Drosophila melanogaster: one gene and its partner. The protein of the gene in region 1 interacts with the protein of each later gene in a biochemical or structural test. Each region holds a gene or a part of one and is shown on either strand. Other genes may lie near its edges. The genes, in order: Mcm5 and grp.

Region 1 (10,513 bases):
TTAAACGCACTTGACAGATTTATGGGCTGGGTGTGCACCTTGGGTCGATGCACTGAATCCCAAAGAATACATTCGCTAGCCAGCTATTAAATAGGTTCTATTAAAAAAAAATAAGACACGCCTCTAACTTTGTGCTCCCTAAAAACCATTCTTTGCAACTATCGTATTGTGTTTTCCGTTTCGTCAGTTTCCATCAAGTGCTACGTGTTCGATGAACAAAATGTTTATTCACTGTATTCATACCATATACATACAGCACGGTATACCAAAAATAGGCCTAGAGAAAACACAAACAATTTGGATCTCGTTAATGGATAGTGGTGTCTTTCAAGATTGCGGTTTCTTGAGTAAGAGTATTTTATTCATCTGGAAGCTATCAGTTAATATTAATCTATTTACACGACACGTATTGAACTAAGCGGTAGGATTTGAATACAAATATTTGTATGTACAGTAGAAATCAGAGTTGTGGAACGACCAGCGCGCAAAGTCATTACACAATGGGCTCGCATTGTTTCAATTCTTTGCGTGTTTTGAATCCCCGGAAGCCAGCCTGAATTTTAACAGCGGCATCGGTGGCGATTTTCTGCTTCTTTCGCACCAGGAATCCCCGGAATCCCGCCTGTATCTTGGTGGCACTACGATCCTCCACGGATTTACCACCATTCTCGGTGGCCGTATGCTGATCCTCGCCGCTGGGACGGGGATTTCCCGTATTGTTCTGGTTTTCCATGAGGCCGTTGTTCTTTGGACGCTGTCGCTGATTCCGCCTGGGATGGGGATTCTTGCTGGATCGATGGATCTCTTTGCGCACACGGTAGCCACGAAATCCGGCCTGAATCTTAATGGCCGCACTCTCTTCGGACTGCAAGGACGATGCTGATTCCGGTGAGCTGGGGTAAATGTACATGATCCTCTGGTGCACTGCAACAAAAATGGCAATCTGAGTCCGCGTTTCTATCCAACAAATACGGCTTTCATCGGTTGTAGCTCTCTGTTCCGGACGAACTCGCTCGCTCGAGATCTAAAATTGTACTGGCGTACGGCGGACGTAGGCTTGGCATATGTACGGCGAGAATTTTCATTTTCATTCACAAAACAAAGGCCCCACTCAGCGATTTTCCTCTCGCACCTCCCTACATATAGCTTACATGGGCCTTTTGTATATACACCTCTGGCCCGGCGGACCAGAATCCCATCCGTTTGCTCTCCCGCGAGAATGGGAAGGAATCCACGGATGCTGATGACGTTCAAGAATTTCTGTTTCACAAAGTATACAAACGTGTTGGAAACAATTATCTAATTTCGCCAGCGCCCCCAATTGTGTGCAGTCTAATTAACAGACATATAATAATTGTGATCGGTTGCGTAATATATCCAGTATATATCTCAAATATCAATATATACTATTAGGGCTTAGCTCGTGTTGACAATAATCCATCACGCAGGAATCACTATTTTTGACAATTTTTTTACGATGTCTAGGGACCTACGTAGCGGGTGATGGACAAAAAAAAAAAACCGAGTAAATTGGTTTAGGTGAAAAGCGAACTTATACACATGGTACACATGGATCCATAGCTACATTTCCATGTGCAATGAAAAGAACATCGGTGCAACGCTTTGTTAATGGAAACGATGAACTGACACAGGCAGAGGTAATTGAAAAAATACATACACTCGTGTGTGCATCAATATCGGAATATGAATTTCAATTAATCTCTTATTGTTTGATGTTTGAATTATCTTGACCCTGGGTTCGGATGCAAAGTTCAAAGTACCACTATGTTATTAAATTGAGAAAACATCATACATACATGTACTATGTGTTTAAATGTGTAGCTGACTTAAATGGAAATTATCGTCACAAATAAATTATATCTATTTTCATAGCCTGGGTGTTCTTTTTTTTATTGATATTGGGCCCATGATCTTCTGGAATTTTTCTAAAACGTCTAGAGAAACATGTTTCTAATTCGCCCTCAATAAATTTTAGACCAACTTGACGTCATTCGGACCTTAAAACGCAGCAAAGTGGCGTCAGTTGGGAAAAATGTACGAGAAATAAATATTATTGTTAGGACTTTTTAAATAATACAGTCATTCCGCAAATGTTCCGTGATAAACAAGATTGTAAAGATTTCCTTCCGGAAATTCATAAATTTGGAATGCCTACATATACATATACATATATATACATTTGCCATTGTTTTTAAATGGCCAAAAGCGAGCATACGTAACACGCTTACGTATTTTTGAAAATTCGTGCACATTTTGAGTACATTTCAGTTTTCAAATGTATGTAAGTACATAGATGTGCATGCGCAAATATACTAATTGAGTTTTGTATAAAAGGAAGTAATAAACGTTCTCAAACAGAGGAAAAAATATTTTTAAGAAATTGGCAAGTGGCCAAGGCAATATGATTGGTTTTTGTGATTTGTCCGAATGACGTAGGCAAACACAGTCGAATGTAGAGCGAAATTGTCGGTTTGCGCGAAAATTTGGAGGCCGACCAAAGGGTCTATGTGTTTCGACCAAGCATTATCAACAAACAGAATTTAGACATTGCTTATAATCTCATTTTTTAAATGTAAACAATCATAAATATTTACCAAACATATAGTCTGCCGGCTCGACTGACTTATGCACTTGAAATACCTAGGATTTCCCACTACAAGTATCAGAGTATCTATTCTGTAAACTTCTAGCTATTAAATACATCACTGAATTATTGTTCAAATATTTAACAGAATTTGAATAAATAAAATAATGATTCAATTTGGTTTATTGGGAAAGAATGTAGTTTATCTTAATACTATAAATGGAAATACAAATAATGTGACGAAATGATTGAAGACATATTCAACGATGGACAAGAAATGAAGTGATTAACAGTGTTTAGCAAATTCGATAGAGCATCTTCCGTTGCATCCGGTGCTGCAGCTCTCCACGTCGGATCATGGTATGAATTACCTTCATTACCGTGCGTTCTTCGTATTTCTGACGCAAAAAGTCCTATGAAAAGCAAGCATTATAAATAAAAATTGTTCATTCGATTCATAAGACTTCTGTGCTTACCTGTAAGATATTCTGCTCCGATACTTGAGATCCAATTGCAAAGCGACGTTTCAATTGCTTTTCGATGCGGTTGAGTGTTTCCTGGTCCTCCTCGGTCGTGAATCCTTCGGCTCCAGCCAAGCTGCCAGTCATCGCAGCATCAAGGGTAGACACTTGGAAAAGTCGAAGTGCTTCGTTCACGTGCTCATCTGTGGCGAACGGTTGCAAACGAATCTTTGCCAGCGACTCCGAAATGCGGATGACAGCCTCCAACTGACGCACAGTGATGGGAATGCTTAGCCGCTTGTCAGATGCCTTCTCCTGCTGGCCGGCTCCACTGCGCATAAGCACGTAGCGGCTCTTTAGCTTCTCGCCGGCAGCTTCGCTCAGGCGCGGACCGCAATGAGTTCGGCAGTAGTGAATATACTTCTTGAACGTCGACAGCGATATCTCACCCTCAGCCGGCTCTGAAGGCGCTGACTTGTTAGAGCTCAGATGCACGTTGATGATGTGCTTGGCCAGCGTAATGTCCCGCGACTCATCGTGAATATCCTTTACAATGAAAATCATGTCGAAACGGGAGAGAATTGTGGGCATAAAGTCAATGTTCTCCTCGCCCTTGGTGTCGTCCCATCGACCGAAAATGGAGTTGGCAGCTGCCAAGACCGAACAGCGTGAGTTCAAGGTGGTCGTGATGCCGGCTTTGGCAATGGATATTGTCTGCTGTTCCATGGCCTCGTGAATGGCCACACGATCATCCTCTCGCATTTTGTCGAACTCATCAATACAAACCACGCCTCCATCGGCCAGCACCATGGCTCCACCCTCCATGACAAAGTTACGCTAAAGATTAATGTATCATTTAATTTGTAAGGATTAGGTGTGCAATGTTTTTTCTCACCGTTTGAGGATCCTTCATAACCGAAGCCGTGAGACCAGCCGCACTGGAGCCTTTGCCCGAAGTGTAGACTGCTATGGGTGCCACCTTCTCCACAAACTTTAACAACTGTGACTTGGCAGTACCAGGATCTCCCAGCAGTAAGACGTTAATGTCGCCTCGACGGCACAGACCATCCGGTAAACGCTTACGAGACCCGCCAAAAAGCATACAAGTTATAGCTTTCTTGATATCCCGAGAGCCGAAGATGCTGGGCGCCAGTGACTGTGAGAGACGTTCGTAGATGTCCCCAGAGGCGGCCATTCGCCGGAAGTGCTCCTCCTCATCGGATGTGATGTTGCTGTATCGGGAGATGGCACCCGCACCCTCTGAGTCGACGGTGATGCCCACCACCCTCATGTAAGGAGCACGGACTCCAACGACGGCTTTCTCGCGACCATCCCGACGCGAGGGTTTGCCCACCTTGCGAATGGAGTATATGCCCTGGATAAGCACGCGATTGCCGGGCACCACGCGTTCACAGAGCGAGCGATCGCAGAAGAGCTGCAAGTGGCGGGGAATCTCACCCTGTGGCACAAAGTCGGGGAGCTCTTGCAACTTAAGGGTCTGGAAATCGACGCACTTGCACTTGTCCGGCATGATGAAGAAGGGGTCCAGCGGGCACTTGGGTCTGCCCGCCTGCTCCGTGTTGCACTTCCTGGGTAGGGCGTAGCCCTCCAAACCTGGATTCACTTTGAGATTCGGTATGACCGTGCTGCAGGACAGGCATTGGATAGACATCCGCGTAGCCTTGGCACTTATTCCTGAGGCTGCGACAATGATTCCGGCGATCTTAACCAGCTTGGATACGCAGTCCGACTTCAACTGTCGTATGTTGGTGGGATTCGCATTGGAGCTCAGAAGAATCTGGATGTCGTGCATATGTTCCTCGTGCTCCGGCCGGGGAGCTGTGATCTCGTCGGCTACCTCCCGGGCAGCCTCCTCGAAGATTTCCAAATGCTCCGTCGGCTGCTTGTTCAGCTTGTCAGCCAAGGTCTCATCGAAGCCCACCAAATCCTCCATCTCAATCTCCAAGAAGTAGCGACCATTAAGATAGTTCCTCTTCAGGGTGTCACTGCAGGGGGATTACCTTAAATGGGGTTCAGATGAGGAGATGCAGTTCACTTACCGGTATTTGTAGAAAAAGTTCTCCTCGTTAAATGTCCGGATGAACTCCTTGTACTTCTTCTTTACCGCCTGCAAGTTGATTTGCGCATCCTGCTGGTTATCTCCGCCGAAATTGTCCGAAAAGAACACACCCGCATCGTCGAAGCCTTCCATTTTGATAGGGTAAACAAAGTTAAAAAGAAGAACTGAGGTAATAGACGCTACTTCTGCTTCGCTTTATATTTCGTTTTTTAGTAAATGCGATGTGCGAATATTTTGCCGCCAAAATTACCGGGCAAGCGGTAGCTAGAGATGAGCACTTACCAGTAAAACTATCGGATCTTATTTACAACTATCGATGAAACGTGTTTCCCAGTTTATGTATTTTTGTTAGCAGTGAAATAGGACCAATACAACAAGCATTGCAGCAGTTAATAAACCATGAACGTATTTATTATATCTTATTGATGTTATGACAAAGATTATTTTACTCGATTATATGGAACATGCCTTAGACAACTGACTCCAATTCTTCCCAGCTCAAAAATACTAAAATTTCAGAAAAATCCAATAATATCGAGCTGGCGATATTTGTTTCCAGCTTTTGTGCGGGGGCAGTGTTGATAAGCGACCTTTTAAACTAGCGTGCTGTAGAAACAGTCCCATCATTTAGTCGCCAATTTTTCGACGTGAAAAACCAAAGAGACGCCGAAGAAATTAGAAAATGGTAAGTTTTGGTCAAAATGTGACGGCAATCGACAGGCCAGTAGCTGACGAACCCGATTCGCAGGCCAGCACAGACATTCCCATGGAGGCAGCTGTGGAATCGGCGACCGGCATCACGCCCAATTCAAATGCGAACTCAAACAATGTGGCGAAGAAGCTGCCCGCGGAGGGCTCCACCGGTGATAATCCCAATGCCAACGCCGACGAGATGACGTCCCGCGACTATTACTTTGACTCCTATGCCCATTTCGGGATCCACGAGGAGATGCTCAAGGACGAAGTGCGCACCGTCACATACCGCAACGCCATGTACCACAACAAGCATCTGTTTCAGGGCAAGGTAGGGTTAACTTCCGGGGTTTCCCCATTTTTCGTAGCCCTTCTCACCGGGGTATCTCCTCTTTGCAGACCGTACTGGACGTGGGTTGCGGTACCGGCATTCTCTCCATGTTCGCTGCCAAAGCCGGTGCTGCTCAGGTGATTGCCGTCGACTGCTCCAACATCATTGAGTTTGCCCGCCAAGTGGTCATTGACAACAATCTGCAGGATGTAATCACGGTTGTCAAGGGCAAGATTGAGGAGATTGAGCTTCCAAATGGTATTGAGGGAGTGGACATTATTATTTCCGAGTGGATGGGGTAGGTTTTCATTTGTAGTTAAGCTTTTAAAAAGTGGTCATATTTGATTTAGCATATTAACCATTTTAATTTCTTTCCTTAATTTAGTTACTGCCTGTTCTACGAATCCATGCTGGATACAGTGTTGTACGCTCGGGACAAGTGGCTGAAGAAGGACGGCATGATGTTCCCAGATAGGGGCACGCTGTATATCACGGCCATCGAGGACAGACAGTACAAGGACGAGAAGATCAACTGGTGGGACGATGTCTACGGCTTCGACATGAGCTGCATTCGTAAGGTGGCCGTGACCGAGCCACTGGTCGACGTGGTCGATCCCAAGCAAGTGGTATCCACATCTTGCATGGTCAAGGAGGTGGATCTGTATACCGTGCAAAAGGCCGATCTTAACTTCTCGTCCAAGTTCAGCCTATGCATCAAGCGCAACGACTTCGTGCAGGCATTAGTCACCTACTTTAATATAGAGTTCACCAAGTGCCACAAGCGTCTTGGGTTCAGTACGTCACCAGACTCCACATACACGCATTGGAAGCAAACCGTGTTCTACCTCGATGACCACATGACGGCAAAGAAGAACGAGGAGATCACTGGCACGTTCCAGATGAAGCCCAACGAGCGGAACAACCGTGACCTGGACTTCGTCATCGACATTAATTTCAAGGGCGAATTGTCTCAAATTCAGGAGTCGAACACATACCGCATGCGCTAGGGGCAGCCATAACCAATCCGATCTGCCATTTGGGATGGGGCTCAGAGCCCTGCAGCGAGGATACATACAATGACTAGACGTAAGGTTTATTCCAGTGCGAAATGTGCAACGAATTCGTGTTGCGTCTTCTCCTAAGTTTAAAGTGTACCTTTGTTAGTATACATAATATTTTACACTCGTGCGCCTGTTTAAATTATTATTCGAACATACTTCTAAGCAAGTTGTACAGCAGCACGTCAATTCTCACATAATAAACAGTGCACTAAGCACGTCCCCTTTTGCTGGAAACAAACTGTTTTTGATGATATATGAAACCAATCAAAACTCGCTGATTGTGCGTCTTTATTTTTTAGTAAAAAAAAAAAAGGAATTTCAAGAATGCATCGAAAGATTTATATTGTCATCTGAAGTAAATTTACTTGGATCGCAATCGACATAGGAATTCCTACAGAAAATACGGCCTTGGCCGGCTTGTTCTTTGATGCGACACTGCTTAAACGATATCCTTTTGGAAACATTAATGACGATCCCGAGAATCCGAGCGACTTCGACGATCGCGCGAGAAGCTGCGGCTGCGGGGCGATCGGGAGCGACGTGGCGAACGTGACCTGAAATAAACGCATTGGTAAAGAAGAAATGATTACTTAAAAGCTTAATAAAATTATTTAAATCAGCTTAGAATGGTAAGAAGTGTATGTACATACGCGCCTTACAAAGAGCTGCAAAATAGGAGTGTTAAATACTGCTAAATAGTTACTTAAACTAATTACCAGGGGGAACAAAAATGAAAGCTGTGCAAACTGTTTTGTTTCTATGAATTAAGCTGTGAACCAATTAAGATAAGAGTATTATTGCTAATGCTGCTATTACATTTAGCTGCTGCAATTACATTTACTATCTATTACCAACTGATATCCTATAATTAGAGTTTAAAGCTTTCTACTTTGTCGGATACATATGCAATAAGAAAATGGTCGAACAAATCTATAGTAGCTGTGATCATCAGCGTTAAACGCGTTCAAGGCCAGTTTTCTCGACATCAGAGTCAAGTACTTGAGAAAGCGGACGAACCCTCATATCATAGGCAACTAAATTAAAGAAATAATTGTAAGCAATTATTTGAAGGATACGCAGGATAACTTTAAAAAAGAACTCTTTGGGCGACTGCATTGCTTCTTCTAGGATGAAATCATTTGGGTTGCTAATCAAAACTTCTGTGAGGCTGTGACGCTGAACATGGTTAATTTAGAGTTGCAAGTTGAAGGTTGCTGGCTGTGGCTGTGAAGATGGTTGCTGTTGTAGATTGTTGATGTTGTAGAAGGAAGAAGTAGCAGTGGAAGTAGTTCTAGCCGAAGGAGTTATCCTGAAAAAGTGTCGATAACTCGAATTTAACAACCACTAAATGATTGGATCGTAGATAATATATGTATACAGTTTGTAAGTTTGGTCTAAATAAAGTACCAAGTCAATTTTTAATTAGAAATGTTATGAATAGCGATGTGATGTCAGTTGGACATGAATAAAACAGCCTGCGAAGAAGTACTCATAAAACTGACATTTCGAAGGCTGTTCTATCACGTGCAGAAAAAGGCGGGAAAATGTACATGTTTGCTATTCGCAATTAATGTTTTTTGCGACGATTCCAATGAAATTTCGATAACAAATTTTATACGTTTTGATAAGGATTGATTAATTTTGACGGTTACAGGCAAGACCGCCATCATATGCTTAGAAACCTGAAGAAAGTACCCAATTTTTGGAGTCAAGTGATCCATTGTTCCATTTGGGAGACACATTGAGCCAAGTAACATGAGAAGTACAGTTTTTTTGTCGTGGAATTACCTGTAGCGTCCGGAACCAGAGCGACCACTACTGCCGCCTTCTCCGCGCCGGCGATCGCGCGAGCGACCCGAAGACATCTCTACGCGAATCCTAGTGCCGCAGCAGCGTGTTCCGTCCAGGGCACGCGTTGCGTCTTCCGCGTCACGGCGATCCTCAAATTCGACAAAGGCGAAACCTGGTGGATTGCGGGCCACCCACACGTTTCGCAGGGGTCCATATTTGGCAAATGCGCCTTCTATCTCGTGCTTGGACGCCGAGGAGCCCAGGTTTCCCACGTACACCTTGCAGGCCAAGTCCCACTCCCTATATCGCGGCATTTTTGTCGGGCGGTGCGGTATCGTGAGTATTGCGGGAGGTGAGCAAGCGGCTAAAACACGAGTATACGGGTTACTTATATTATCCGTGCAATGAGCTGTTGTATAAACACTAATTTCCACACTTACCTTCTAAAATGTCATCCAATTTTGTTAAAATTTTAACAAAAATCTCCGCCTTTCCTTTATTTATTACAATTACCGAAAAGTGTGACCAGACGCGGAAATAGTGGTGGCATCGAAAACCGATACATCGCTATCGCCAGTTTCTGATATGTTACATTTTCTTGTTATTAAATATTTTTATAATATTTCTCTAACCATTACAAGTGCCAAAAAAACAACAATTATAAGATATTGCAATTTCATTCACTAAAATTGTTAAATTATACGGCCTTATACAAGAAATTGAATACATATAAAATTAAAAATCACGATGTAACGATTTACAGCTTGAACCGTGGATGAAGTGATCACATCACTAATATTTATTGCCGATGGGGCAGGGAATTTCTCTCACCATCTGGCAGCACTGAGTTTCATAACCAGTCCGCCGGGCTTCATTTCATTGAACGAAAACATAAGCAAATCCTAACTTAAATGAGGCTGACGAACACTCTCTGTGCCCAGCACATCGGCTGGCATTTCAAGAAGCACTGGCTGGTCCAGGGTAGGCGAGTCCCCAAGGAAACTGGCGCCGCGGCGGAGCTCCTGAAGCTAGGTGTTCTGGTGAAGAATCCCGAGGATCTCTTGAACGCCAAAGTTGAAAAAAAACTGTGAGTATTAATGGGAAATATGTACTGATGGTAAAAGGTAACATATCTAACTTTACCTACAGAGTGGACATTGTTGGCGCACGCGAAAAACCCGTTCCCGAGGACAGCAGGCACCCTGACTGGCACCCCACAGTTTGCAACACTTACTCCGACAACAGCGTGCTAATTGGTGGATTGCCGCAGGCCCAGGTGCTGACCAACTCCATTGTGATCCAAACATTTCCCAAGCACATCGAGGATGCCATTGCAAGTCAGCAGTTGCCAAATTCCGTAGACAAGAGTGTCCGGCATGCGATTCTGGCATCCCACGTGCTTGATGCAGAGCAAGTCAAGCTGCCCAAGGTGAGGCTACCGGAGAGGCCGGCCTTTAACCTGCCCCGCTCCTACGGAATATCACACGAAAG
Region 2 (10,643 bases), on another chromosome or scaffold:
GAATAGCCATGGGGAATGCACTCGTGCCAAATGAAGAATCCAAGTGATTGTGATTCCATTGATTTCTTGATTGAATAAAAGCGTATGCTTCTAATAGCACCTTTCAAACTAATCAATCGGAATTGTTGTTATTTGTGCAGCATTGAGTCTTTGCTTTCAGCTCCTCTTTTATTTGCCTCATTTAAATTAAGCTAATCAAACACAAGCGTCGACTAGCAACACCTCCAGCTTCCTCTGAACCCAGATGAAAATATGTAGATGAAAAATCTTTGGACGCAGTGCGTCCTGCGACCTTCTCCTCCACCTCTTAGAATAGAAGCCCCTGCATCTGGTAATCGAGAAACTGGCACAAGTGGACACTGAAGAGTCATCGACAGGACGATGATGGGGATGCAAATGCCGACGAGAATGGGAATGAGGATGAGATTGAGTATGAGTACCCAACCTGGACAAAGGGTCAAAGGCCACTGGGCAAACAATGCCGGAGCAGAGCAACAAAGTAATCAATTTTATCACACAAAACACGAGTGTTTTCCTTTTACTCAGGCAGCAAATATGCAAACTTTTCAATAAAAGGAATACTAATGGGTTATTTGTTATCCACTAGCTGACAGTTATTATTTTAAAACGAAGTTCAATGGTTAATAAAATGGAGCAGAACTTAGAAGGAAGCCATTTCACACTTGGTTCATCATTTATTTTTTTTTATCCATAACCCTTTCAATGTAGTAATGTATCTGAGAATATTTCCCTGTGTACGGGGCACACCTTCACTCACCTTGAGTTGAGATTTCCTCTTGAGGGCGGCAATTGAACGAGTTTGCTGTCGTAGAACCTCCAGTGCAGCAACGAGGTCAGAGGTCGAAAATCAAAACGAAATTGAAAACTGATTCCGGCCAAGCCAATAGCTGAAATCATCCGAAAAAATAAAAATATTGATGCCACGTACTTTGAAACTCTCACGAAATCGGATTTCATTTTCGAAAAGTGTTATACTCTAGCAATATCTGGTGTATACATATAGTAGTGGCTTTTATTATAAAACTTGTCATAATTAAAATGAAATTTTATAAGTTTGTTCAAATATTTCTATATTTAAGTAATTGATTTTAAGTAATCACATTTTTGTCATTATATATCATAATTGCAAGAGCATCTAAATACGATTTCCCCGACACGTTTTGCTTTAATTGTTTACGTTTGCGGGAGGAACGGCGCGAAAAAGATGAAAAACATATCGTTTGAATTATAAACAATTTGCAGCGAAATTCGTTTTCAATATTTTCATTTAATTTTCATGATTGGTTTGTTTGGCGTTAATTGCACGTTTTTACTGACTAATGAGTGGGTGATAGGCTAGGCTAGCCGATTAGTTCATTTTCGAAATTTTCGAATATTTTGGAATAATTGCGGATCTGTATTTGGAGGTTTCTCTTTCACTTGGAATAACCTTGCGCAATTTGAAATTTGTAACATGTTGGGAGGGGCTTTTCACTGCATATTTCCGTTTCGTGCTCTGCAACCGGAAGTGCACACACACACACACACACACACTCATAGCCAAAACCACCACACCAACACACTCAAGTACTTTTTCATATATTTTTTTTCTACGGTTTGGTAACTTTTAAGAGGGTGTTTGACCCATAAATGAATTTATGCCAATTTAGAACGGCAAACACAGTTGTGGGCTTGGAAAAACTTCGGTTAGGGGGATTAAGCATTGGGCGGGGGCGTTGGCTAACCAATTAAAGCGAGTTTTTTTTTTGGGGGTTGTTTATTTATTTAGTATTCCCTGTTGCTTTTGCAGGGGCAGCATAACCGGATATATTTGTGCAATTATTTTAATGGCCTAGGCAATAACACAGAAACACACACAAACACACAAATGACTAGTGGCTAGCCCATTTTTTATTTGAAATTTACTTTCTTTGCTCGAGCTTTTCTTTTGCCTTTGGCCAAATAATTTTGGCTTTAATAATTAAAAGTATTTTGGGTTGCCCGCTGTTTTCCGAGTTTCTCGTGCGCCTTGGCCAGCAGTCGACTTGCAACTGAGCAAGTGAAAAAGTCGAAACAGCTGAAAAAGTGCAAGGACTCCCGATCCCAAAACCGATTCCTACAGACCAGACGAACTCTGAACCGAGTTTAAATGTCTGTGGGGGTATTTCTATTCAATGGTGGCCCCAAAAACTCAATGAAAACGGCAAGCCGGCTGCAGGCGATGCAGCGCGCATGTGTCCTGTAGTAAAACGGCGGCAAGGATAATGACCTCTTCGAGGTGCAGGTCGCTTCTGCATGGGCGAAAAAAACCGTTGGTGGAAGGTAAGAATTTCTTTTAGATTTTATATTCCCTTTTCTACTTGATGTTCTCAAATTTTTTTTTTTCCTTATTCCCAATTTGTTAAAACCTCACTTTACAGCAATTTTAAAAAGTCCGCGCAACATAACAGCGATTAGGAACACTGTCACTGTAATAATCTTTGCAGTACTTTTTTTGCGGTAGTTGTGAATTTCGTATCCCGTGACTTTTGTTGAATAATCGATATCAACGAACAGTAATCGATATGTGCTCTAAACAAACAAACATGTAATTAAAATTAATTAAAATACGGACAGTTTGTTTACCCCAAAACAGATAGTTTAGTGATCCACCGAAATGAGTGTGTTCCCAAGATATCCAAACACCAGGCTAGACCTGTAGCATTAATAATATTGTGGTCTTATTGTGGACTTTTGCAATGCTTAGTGCGGATCGGGATTCGGTGGAGGAAGAATATGGATCGTGCTCGGCCTGGAAATTCCGTTGCAGCGTGGACAGGTGCCCCTACAGGACGAACAGACCCTACAATCTGGCGCGTCATGAGGAGTCCCACATTGGTATTACGCAGTCCAAGCTATACGGATGCCCCGTTTGCGTTTACAACACCGACAAGGCGTCGAACCTGAAGCGGCACGTGTCTATCAAACATCCTGGGTGCAAAAAGCGCCCTCCGGAAGCGCAGCACAAGGATCGCAATGCCAAGTTGCAGTGCCTGGTGATGGGATGCAGATACGAGACAAATCGTCCATACGACCTCAAGCGCCACTTGATGGTGCACAACAATCCGGAGAAGAGCCACAGGACGTTTAAGTGCTCCCTTTGCACCTACAGCTCCGACCGAAAGGCCAATCTCAAGCGGCACCACGAGCTACGCCATTCGGGCATAGAGGAGGCCATTCAAACTGCGGAGGAACTGCGCCAGGAGATGCTGCTGGAGAAGCAAATGCTGAAGGAACATAAGCTAAAATATCAGATCACAGAGAAACAGGATTTGAAGAATCTAAAGTTGAAGGACCAAAAGCAGAAGGTGCAAATGCTGAGGGATCAGCAACCGAAACAAAGGCAAAAGAAAGAACAGTTGCTGGAGGACCAGAGTCCTGTGCTGAATAAGCAGCTGGAGCACGGAAATATTCCTTTAAAAGAAGCCCTGGTAGGCAGTATGAAATACGACGAGGAAAGTTTGGAATTTGTTTACGAGGAACTGCAGGAGGAGGAGCAGCCGCCCATCATCACCATTAGCAACCCGCAGATTCTCCATGGAGACATCCGGGATAAGCACGTCATCGTAAGCATTGCAAAATGTAGTTGTTAAATTCGCTCTTCAATCATTAACAACATTTACAATGTTTGCAGGCTGTCAACGTTGATGGCCAGTTGCGATGGTTCCAGTCAATAGATCCACCGCCGGGAGCTCCAACAAAATTGGAGCTGCCCATAAAGAGCACTTCAATTTCTGTCCAGCAGCAAATGGACGAATTAGACGATGAGTTGGCCATGTCCCTTGCCGAAGAAGATCAGCAGGATGAGTTTCTTGTGCCAATGCTGAGCGGAGAGGAACCAGTTAAAATAAAACAATCATCGCTGACCGATCTGGCTTGGAGTTGGAGTACGCCGGATGTAAGAAAGAACTATAAACGAAAAAAACGAACTTTTCCTAACAATGTTTTTATCACTAAAGGCTGTACATCACATAAGTCCCAAAGCGGAACTCAAGAAGGACCTTAAAGCTGGCGATGCAGATACAGATTTTCCAGATTGGTGGGATGATGGCAAGTACACAAAGATGCAAAAGAACCAAACATTTGCAAAGCACTCAAAGAAGCCGTCGCAGGAGAATGTGCAACGCATCCTGCGCATCATCTATGACATTTACTACAAACCCTTCAAGGAAGATCGCAAGCAGTTCGAGGCATTTCAAATTAAGGACTCCTGGCTGTGCGCGACTCGAATGACTCGCATGCAGATAATCAAGGACATGTACTCTAAACAGGGCACGTTAAGTCAAACTTGATGATAAAAAATGTATCATCCCTTTGGTATTTGTATAAGAATACCATTAAGTTGTTTACTATTTAAAGTGTAAAGTAAACGAATTAAGAAAATCCCAAGTACTTTAAAACTAGTTAATTAACCTTTAATTTAAGCCCAAAAACAAGTATAGGAGTAGTTTAAAAAAGAAAGAATACTATAGTCGAGATCCCCGACTATCATATAACCGTTACTCAGCTAGTGTGAATGCGAACGCGAAATTTAATCCTCTGGGATATTAATAAATATTGTATAATGTGAAAAAATTTAAAAAAAATTCAAACGTGTGGGCGTGACCGGTTTGGCGGCTTTAGGGCGTTGGAATGGGCGTGGCAAAAAGTTTTTTGGCAAATCGATAGAAATTTAAGCGACTAATAAAATTATGAAAAATATCCAACAATTTTTTTTTTAAATATGGGCGTGTCAGTTTTGTGCGGTTTGTGGGCGTCGCAACATGGGTTCCGCTGCGTCTTTATCTCTAGAATATGTATGCTAAATCTCAACCTTCTAGCTTTTAAAGTTTCTGATATCTCGTCGTTCATACGGACAGACGGACATGACTAGATCGACTCGGCTATTGATTCTGATCAAGAATATATACTTATATATAAATATATACACTTTATATAGTCGGAAACGCTTTCTTCTGCATGTTACATACTTTTCAACGAATCTAGTATACCCTTTTACTCTACGAGTAACGAGTATATTTTAGGAATTGTGTTATTCAATAAATTGTGTGTTGAAAATGTCTACACTACGATCGATTATTGAAGAAAAAATAAATTCAATGAAAATTAAAAACAATTAGTCAATAATTATATATTATTTTAAATATGACTATTTATAGTACCGGATAATAATCATATTTAAAAAAGTGTATTTAATATTAACAGCTAAATACTGTAATGATTTTAAGCTAAATACAAATAAAATCAGCTAAATACTGAAATCACAAATTTATGTGCCTTGTGATTTTCGACGATCGATACTTGGGATCCGAAACGGATAACCATCGATATCAGCGATTTACTGGAGAAATCGATAGCTTGCACTGTGCATCCAGTTTTGCTCCAGCCCTATCGCAAACTAAAGTATATTTTAGCAGCGTTTGCGGAATTTTTTGCATTTCAGTTACTCCAAGTGTGAATAAGAGCACGGTCGCTGTTATAGTGTCTTGCAAAGCAGTGAATTAAAAAAGTTTAATAATCCAAATCGAGAATCCCAAATTTGTGTAGACGTAGCAACAACAGTAAAACGCGCTGGCCGGAAAAGACGCTGCTGGTGAGTTGGAATAGTGGTGCATAAATTAGGAATGTATATATGCTGATTCGTGGGGCATTACCCTTTGTTTATTTAATGACTTGCTTGCTGCACCCCGCTCCCCCTTCCTTAACCTTTTGTTTAACTTTTTGGCGCAATATTATTCACCTTGACCACGCACCGGTGTGCAAAAGATTCACCGCACACCGGTGCACTTAAATTCACCACAGCCTTAATAATTCTTACGGCATTTCCGTGCTCAATGGTGAATGGTCGCACTGAAACTATTCTTTGAAAATAACGGAGTAAACATTCAGTCTCAGATTCTGAGAACTTGTTGACAGTGTAGCTGTTCAATTGTTTTCATGGCGAGTTCTCGGAGTATTTTTTGTTAGGTGAGTTTTAGGTTATGTCTGATGTCAGAAAATTAACAAATAAATTTCGCCTAAGACAACGCACGATCATGGCATGGGTTCCCAATTCGCAGTTCGAGGATGATCTGGTCGACATGGAGCCGGATTTCAATTTTGTCCATGGTCAACTGGCCTACGACATGAAGAAGCAAGGGGAGTTTTGGCCGCGACCGAAATGCACATATGAATATCTGAAGTCCCGGGAAAAGAGGAATTCCGAGCTCGAAAATATCCATGGAAGCAGAGGCGGAACTGGTCGTGATATTCGGCAAAGCCTTCAGCTAATGGAGAACATACAGAAGATAGCAGGCACAAGGCCGCTGGGCGAGCACGCCACTATGAAAGATTGGGAGGATGAAAGCACAAATGAGCTAGAGGCGTTAGCCATGATGCGTCACTTCGGAATGATGTCCATGGCAACAGATTCGCTGCCCGTTCTGCCCGAAGTAAAACCACCAGAAGGACCCATTAAAATTATAAGAAACGGACGGAAACAATTTCCCCTCATCACAGACCCCGAATTTTTTAAACCACGCAAGATTCCCCGAACGAAGAATTCCAGTTCCAGTAGTTCGTATCATACTGCCAATAGTTCAATCAGTTCCTTCAGCCTTTATGAATCTGCCGCTTCAGATTTGGACAGCAGCAAGAAGCAGGGCGAGATCAAGGCGTCAAAGTCGGAGAAATACCTCGAAGTACCTTACAAACAGCTTGCGGAGAGTTACGACCAGGAAGTGGAATCACCAGTCCAATTTGGAAACCAATTCAATGAATGAAGGAGGAACCAACGGGGAATGCAATTATTAGAACCAAAAAATCAATCACTTTTTATATATAAGCTTCTGTAACATGTAAATAAACGGCTTAAACGTCGTTTAGAAAACCGAATTTATATTGGATGCAGTTCTACAAATAGAAAGAAAAATACTTGATATCATAGGGTAAACAAAATATTTATCTATTTTAATAAATTAAATGCGAAAGGAATGTTAGTGCTGTAGAATTCAATATATCCTTAAATGAATTTTTTTATATTAATTTATTGTTGCAAATGCATGTTTCCCAAACCATTTGGTAATTATTCAATTGTATCCCCTCCTAAATATGAAAAAATTGGAATATAGTCGGAAATATAATCGAGGTATTAAAATTTATGTTTATCGATTAAATCGATCGCGCTTATCAACGCACTATATTATAGCTAGAACATCGTATTTATAGAAAATAATTTTATGGCGTGTTTAATAACACACGCCAGACGTCTCTTTCAATAGCTACTTTGCGGCATATTGGGCACATATCGGCATGCTGCAAGTGGGTCCGGATGCACATCTCCCCAAAAAGGTGACCACATCTAAGCGAAACCAAGCGGTGATGATCCTTCGCTTCCCAAGGATCCAGGCATATGCAGCAAGTATTTTCGATGGCAATCTTCTCAAGCTGCTGTGTTAATTCGTCCTTGGACTCGAACAACAACTGCTCTTGCAATAATTTCTGATTGGTTATCTCTTCTTCCATTTGGTAATATAGCTTGAGTTCCTCCTCGCGCATTTTATCCTTCTCTTGAGTTGTAATATTTAGCTTCGCCAGTTGCTTGTCCTTTTGCTCACTTTTTTTCCTTTCCGCTAAGAGCTGCTCAACAACATCCTTCTTCAGCATCCTCATCAACGAGCGAGTCTGGGCTTTGTTATTGGGCATATTGTAAAGAAATTAAAATTACAAGGTGAACGAATTTTTTAGACAAGCACTTTTAGAACGAATGTCTTCTCAGTGAAGGTTTAAGCGTGGACTGCCTAGATTGAACAAAATTATTTTTTCTTGTAATCATTAGAATTAGTTGTGTGTTGCATTTTCCAACACAGCCAACATATTTACAGCTGTCAAAAAAAAAATCCATTTCAAAATAAAACTCGACTGTAATATTTGCGAATCGTTCACATCGAAAACGAGATGGATAAACAAGATATTACAAAGATGACCAAGAAAAAACTCATCGTTGAGGTCATTAAGCAGCGAAAACGGAACAAAGAAAAGGACGAAATCATCAAGGATAGTTTCGAGTCCAAAAAGCGTTTAATTGATCTGCGACTGCAACTGGACAAGGAGAAGAACATAACGAAGGAGTTGCGACTGAGGCTAGCGGCGCAGGACGCGATTGCGAATCAAGCGGAGAACCTGTCTATGAAACGAAAGAAGATCGCCGAAGAGAACAAGTGCTACATTTGCAAATGGAATTATGAGGTTACCGGAGACCATCGCCCAGTTTCAATTAAATGCGGTCACCTTTTTGGAGCGAATTGCATACTACATTACTTGCAGCGTAACAAGACATGCCCCATCTGCAAATCACAGATGATCCGCTGTATGGATGTTCGCATTATTATAGCAGGTCAAAATTTGTGCACGGCTGAATTATTACAGTAAACATTACATTTGCTGGGAAGTTGGACAAAATAAAAACCCAAGCAAAAGAAACAAGAGAAATTAATATTTTCTTGTATGTTTGTGATAATTAAACCACCACAATCATTTTCTCAATTTTTATTCAATTTCCCTTATTCAATCAATAGATGATTTGAACATTTGGCAAGCGTATATCGCAAGTGGAGTGAGACCCCCCGTAATTCCTTAATCAATAAACCACACTCCACTATATGCATACATAAATAATTTGTTATTGTTTTTGTGTGCGGGAACTATTATTATCAATTAAGCAATAATCTGTCGCAGAGTTTGCCAAATAACATTGAGAAAGTGGCTCACGTAATAAAGTAGAGGGAATTTGAAAAGTAGTGTAGTAGTAGTAGTAAAAGAATCAAGTTAAATAATAACGTTAATGTAGGTACATATGTATTGCTTAAAAATATAAATATTTTAGTGCATTTACTAATGTAGAGCAAGGTCCTTATCTGACTAATTGAATCAGGCTACAGTAACTTACTGGCTAAATTAGCAAACTTGTGCTGAGTTTTGGCGGTGCGAGTTGTCTGTCTCCTTTTTGTGGTGGCTGCTTCTCTCCCGTTTATTTTCGCGTGCATCTTCTCTTCCCGCCCGAGAAAAGTGTGAACTCACGAACACACGCAGCCAAAAGTTTTTAGTTCCGTGGCAACCACGTGCGTCTTTTGTTTCCTTTTTTCTTCTCTTGCGATTTTCCTTACTTCGCTCCCTTTTCTTCTATTCGCCGGGGTTGTCAAGCAGAAGTTTTGTTGTTATAAGTGGTGAAATGGATGCTGAAGTTGTTGTGTTTTATGCATAGGCCTGATGCTATTGTACGCAGTTGTACATCAATATCCAAACAAACCTACATACATACATACGTACATAAATAAATATGGATGTTGTCAGCGAAAAGTAGTCAAACCAAAGGATGGTGGTGAAAACTGTAGATGATGTGGGGGGGGGGGGTCTCTCTATATGTACATATGTATGGTTGTATGTTAACAAGTCTGGAGTCGCGGTCTTATTCGATGAGTGAAAGACGAAGCAAAATCAAAAATAAAGAAGCAATTCGACAAATGGCGCAAGCTATTAAAATAAATATGTACAATGTGCAAGCACTTTTTTTCGGGTGGACCCAAATTTTCACTTCGAAATATCCGTTAAAGTGTACCAAACTGAAATCTTTTTTTGTATTAATTGTTAGATTGCTGCATTTAAACCAAAAGCATTAAAAATATGAAAACATTTTTGGTTGGTTCTATTTGATTTCTCTTGACGCGCATTCTTATCAAAGCTTTAACTTTGTTTATACTTTAAGCGCATTCAAGTGTCTTTAATTTGTATACCTACCCCTAATCCAATTTCAATGTTTCAAATTTCGCTATATTAGGTAGTGATTCCCAATCAGCTTTGTTTACAAGGTCCACTCCAATTCCTACGCACTCGAGTTGTGGCGAGAGTTTTTTATGCGACATCAACTGAAGCTGGAGCTGCCGAAAGGTAAGCAGCGCACAGGGCAACTTAAAACGTTTACCAAAAAAAAATTCCTAATTTGTTGTTTAAAATATAAAATTATTAGGATTGGAAAAGGTTGATATCTTTTATTTGTGTATAATTTTTCAATTAAAAATAAAATCTCAAATTTACTGTACCGATACCACTGTGCAATGGTTGATGGAAGAGTGGAGTAAAGAAAAAGGAGCAACAGCCCTCGCCGGTAGCCGGCTTTCAGCCTCTGCTGCCACGAACAGAGCTCCCGTTCGGGCACTGTGGGGTTAGAAAAGTTTTAAGTTACATTATTTCGCTATTATTTTAATATGGGTATTAGTATTTGTAAAGATTTAAAAAAGAAAAGTTGAGAACTATTATGATATTCCATCCTGAATTCGATAAAAAAATAGTTAGAAAAACTATGATAGGGAGATATGTATATTAATACGTTTTTTGTCAAGGACTGAAATCCTTTTACTAAACGTATAATTGTACAAATTATACGTTTATGTCAATATAATTCGATCATGTATAGATGATTATTAAATAATAATAATGGAATAGTTAAACAATGGTCCGTCCCACTGTGCACTGCTGAACTTGAGCGAGAGAGCAAGTTGAACTTGCCAAATGCTGTGCGGAAGAGGAAGAGCGAGAGGATTTCTCCAACCCCTTCCCGCCTATCGTTT

The links.
Region 2: of the proteins of Mcm5 (region 1) and grp, one has a biochemical effect on the other in vitro, tested with the Drosophila melanogaster proteins (one study listed by BioGRID).

Annotation. Positions count from the first base shown.
Region 1 is NT_033777.3:10,783,430-10,793,942, reverse strand, and holds Mcm5 (minichromosome maintenance 5), read right to left. Parts: upstream 5,420-10,513; 5' UTR 5,279-5,419; coding exon 5,127-5,278; intron 5,073-5,126; coding exon 3,962-5,072; intron 3,904-3,961; coding exon 3,082-3,903; intron 3,019-3,081; coding exon 2,902-3,018; 3' UTR 2,793-2,901; downstream 1-2,792. Other genes in the region: CG14687 (uncharacterized protein), read right to left, coding at 494-910; Art1 (arginine methyltransferase 1), read left to right, coding at 5,829-5,831, 5,895-6,170, 6,239-6,468, 6,556-7,177; Rbp1 (RNA-binding protein 1), read right to left, coding at 8,423-8,540, 9,020-9,336; mRpL37 (mitochondrial ribosomal protein L37), read left to right, coding at 9,934-10,109, 10,172-10,513. UniProt on the Drosophila melanogaster protein: Acts as a component of the Mcm2-7 complex (Mcm complex) which is the putative replicative helicase essential for 'once per cell cycle' DNA replication initiation and elongation in eukaryotic cells.
Region 2 is NT_033779.5:16,674,645-16,685,287, forward strand, and holds the start of grp (grapes), read left to right. Parts: upstream 1-5,409; 5' UTR 5,410-5,632; intron 5,633-5,805; exon of another isoform or gene 5,806-6,006; intron 6,007-6,061; exon of another isoform or gene 6,062-6,074; coding exon of another isoform or gene 6,075-6,800; exon of another isoform or gene 6,801-7,009; intron 7,010-7,174; exon of another isoform or gene 7,175-7,254; coding exon of another isoform or gene 7,255-7,722; exon of another isoform or gene 7,723-7,758; intron 7,759-7,858; exon of another isoform or gene 7,859-7,974; coding exon of another isoform or gene 7,975-8,448; exon of another isoform or gene 8,449-8,646; intron 8,647-8,965; exon of another isoform or gene 8,966-9,364; intron 9,365-9,853; 5' UTR 9,854-9,963; intron 9,964-10,643. Other genes in the region: her (hermaphrodite), read left to right, coding at 2,739-3,605, 3,674-3,937, 3,999-4,331; squ (squash), read left to right, coding at 6,075-6,800; CG31807 (uncharacterized protein), read right to left, coding at 7,255-7,722; CG33552 (uncharacterized protein), read left to right, coding at 7,975-8,448. UniProt on the Drosophila melanogaster protein: Serine/threonine-protein kinase which is required for checkpoint-mediated cell cycle arrest and activation of DNA repair in response to the presence of DNA damage or unreplicated DNA.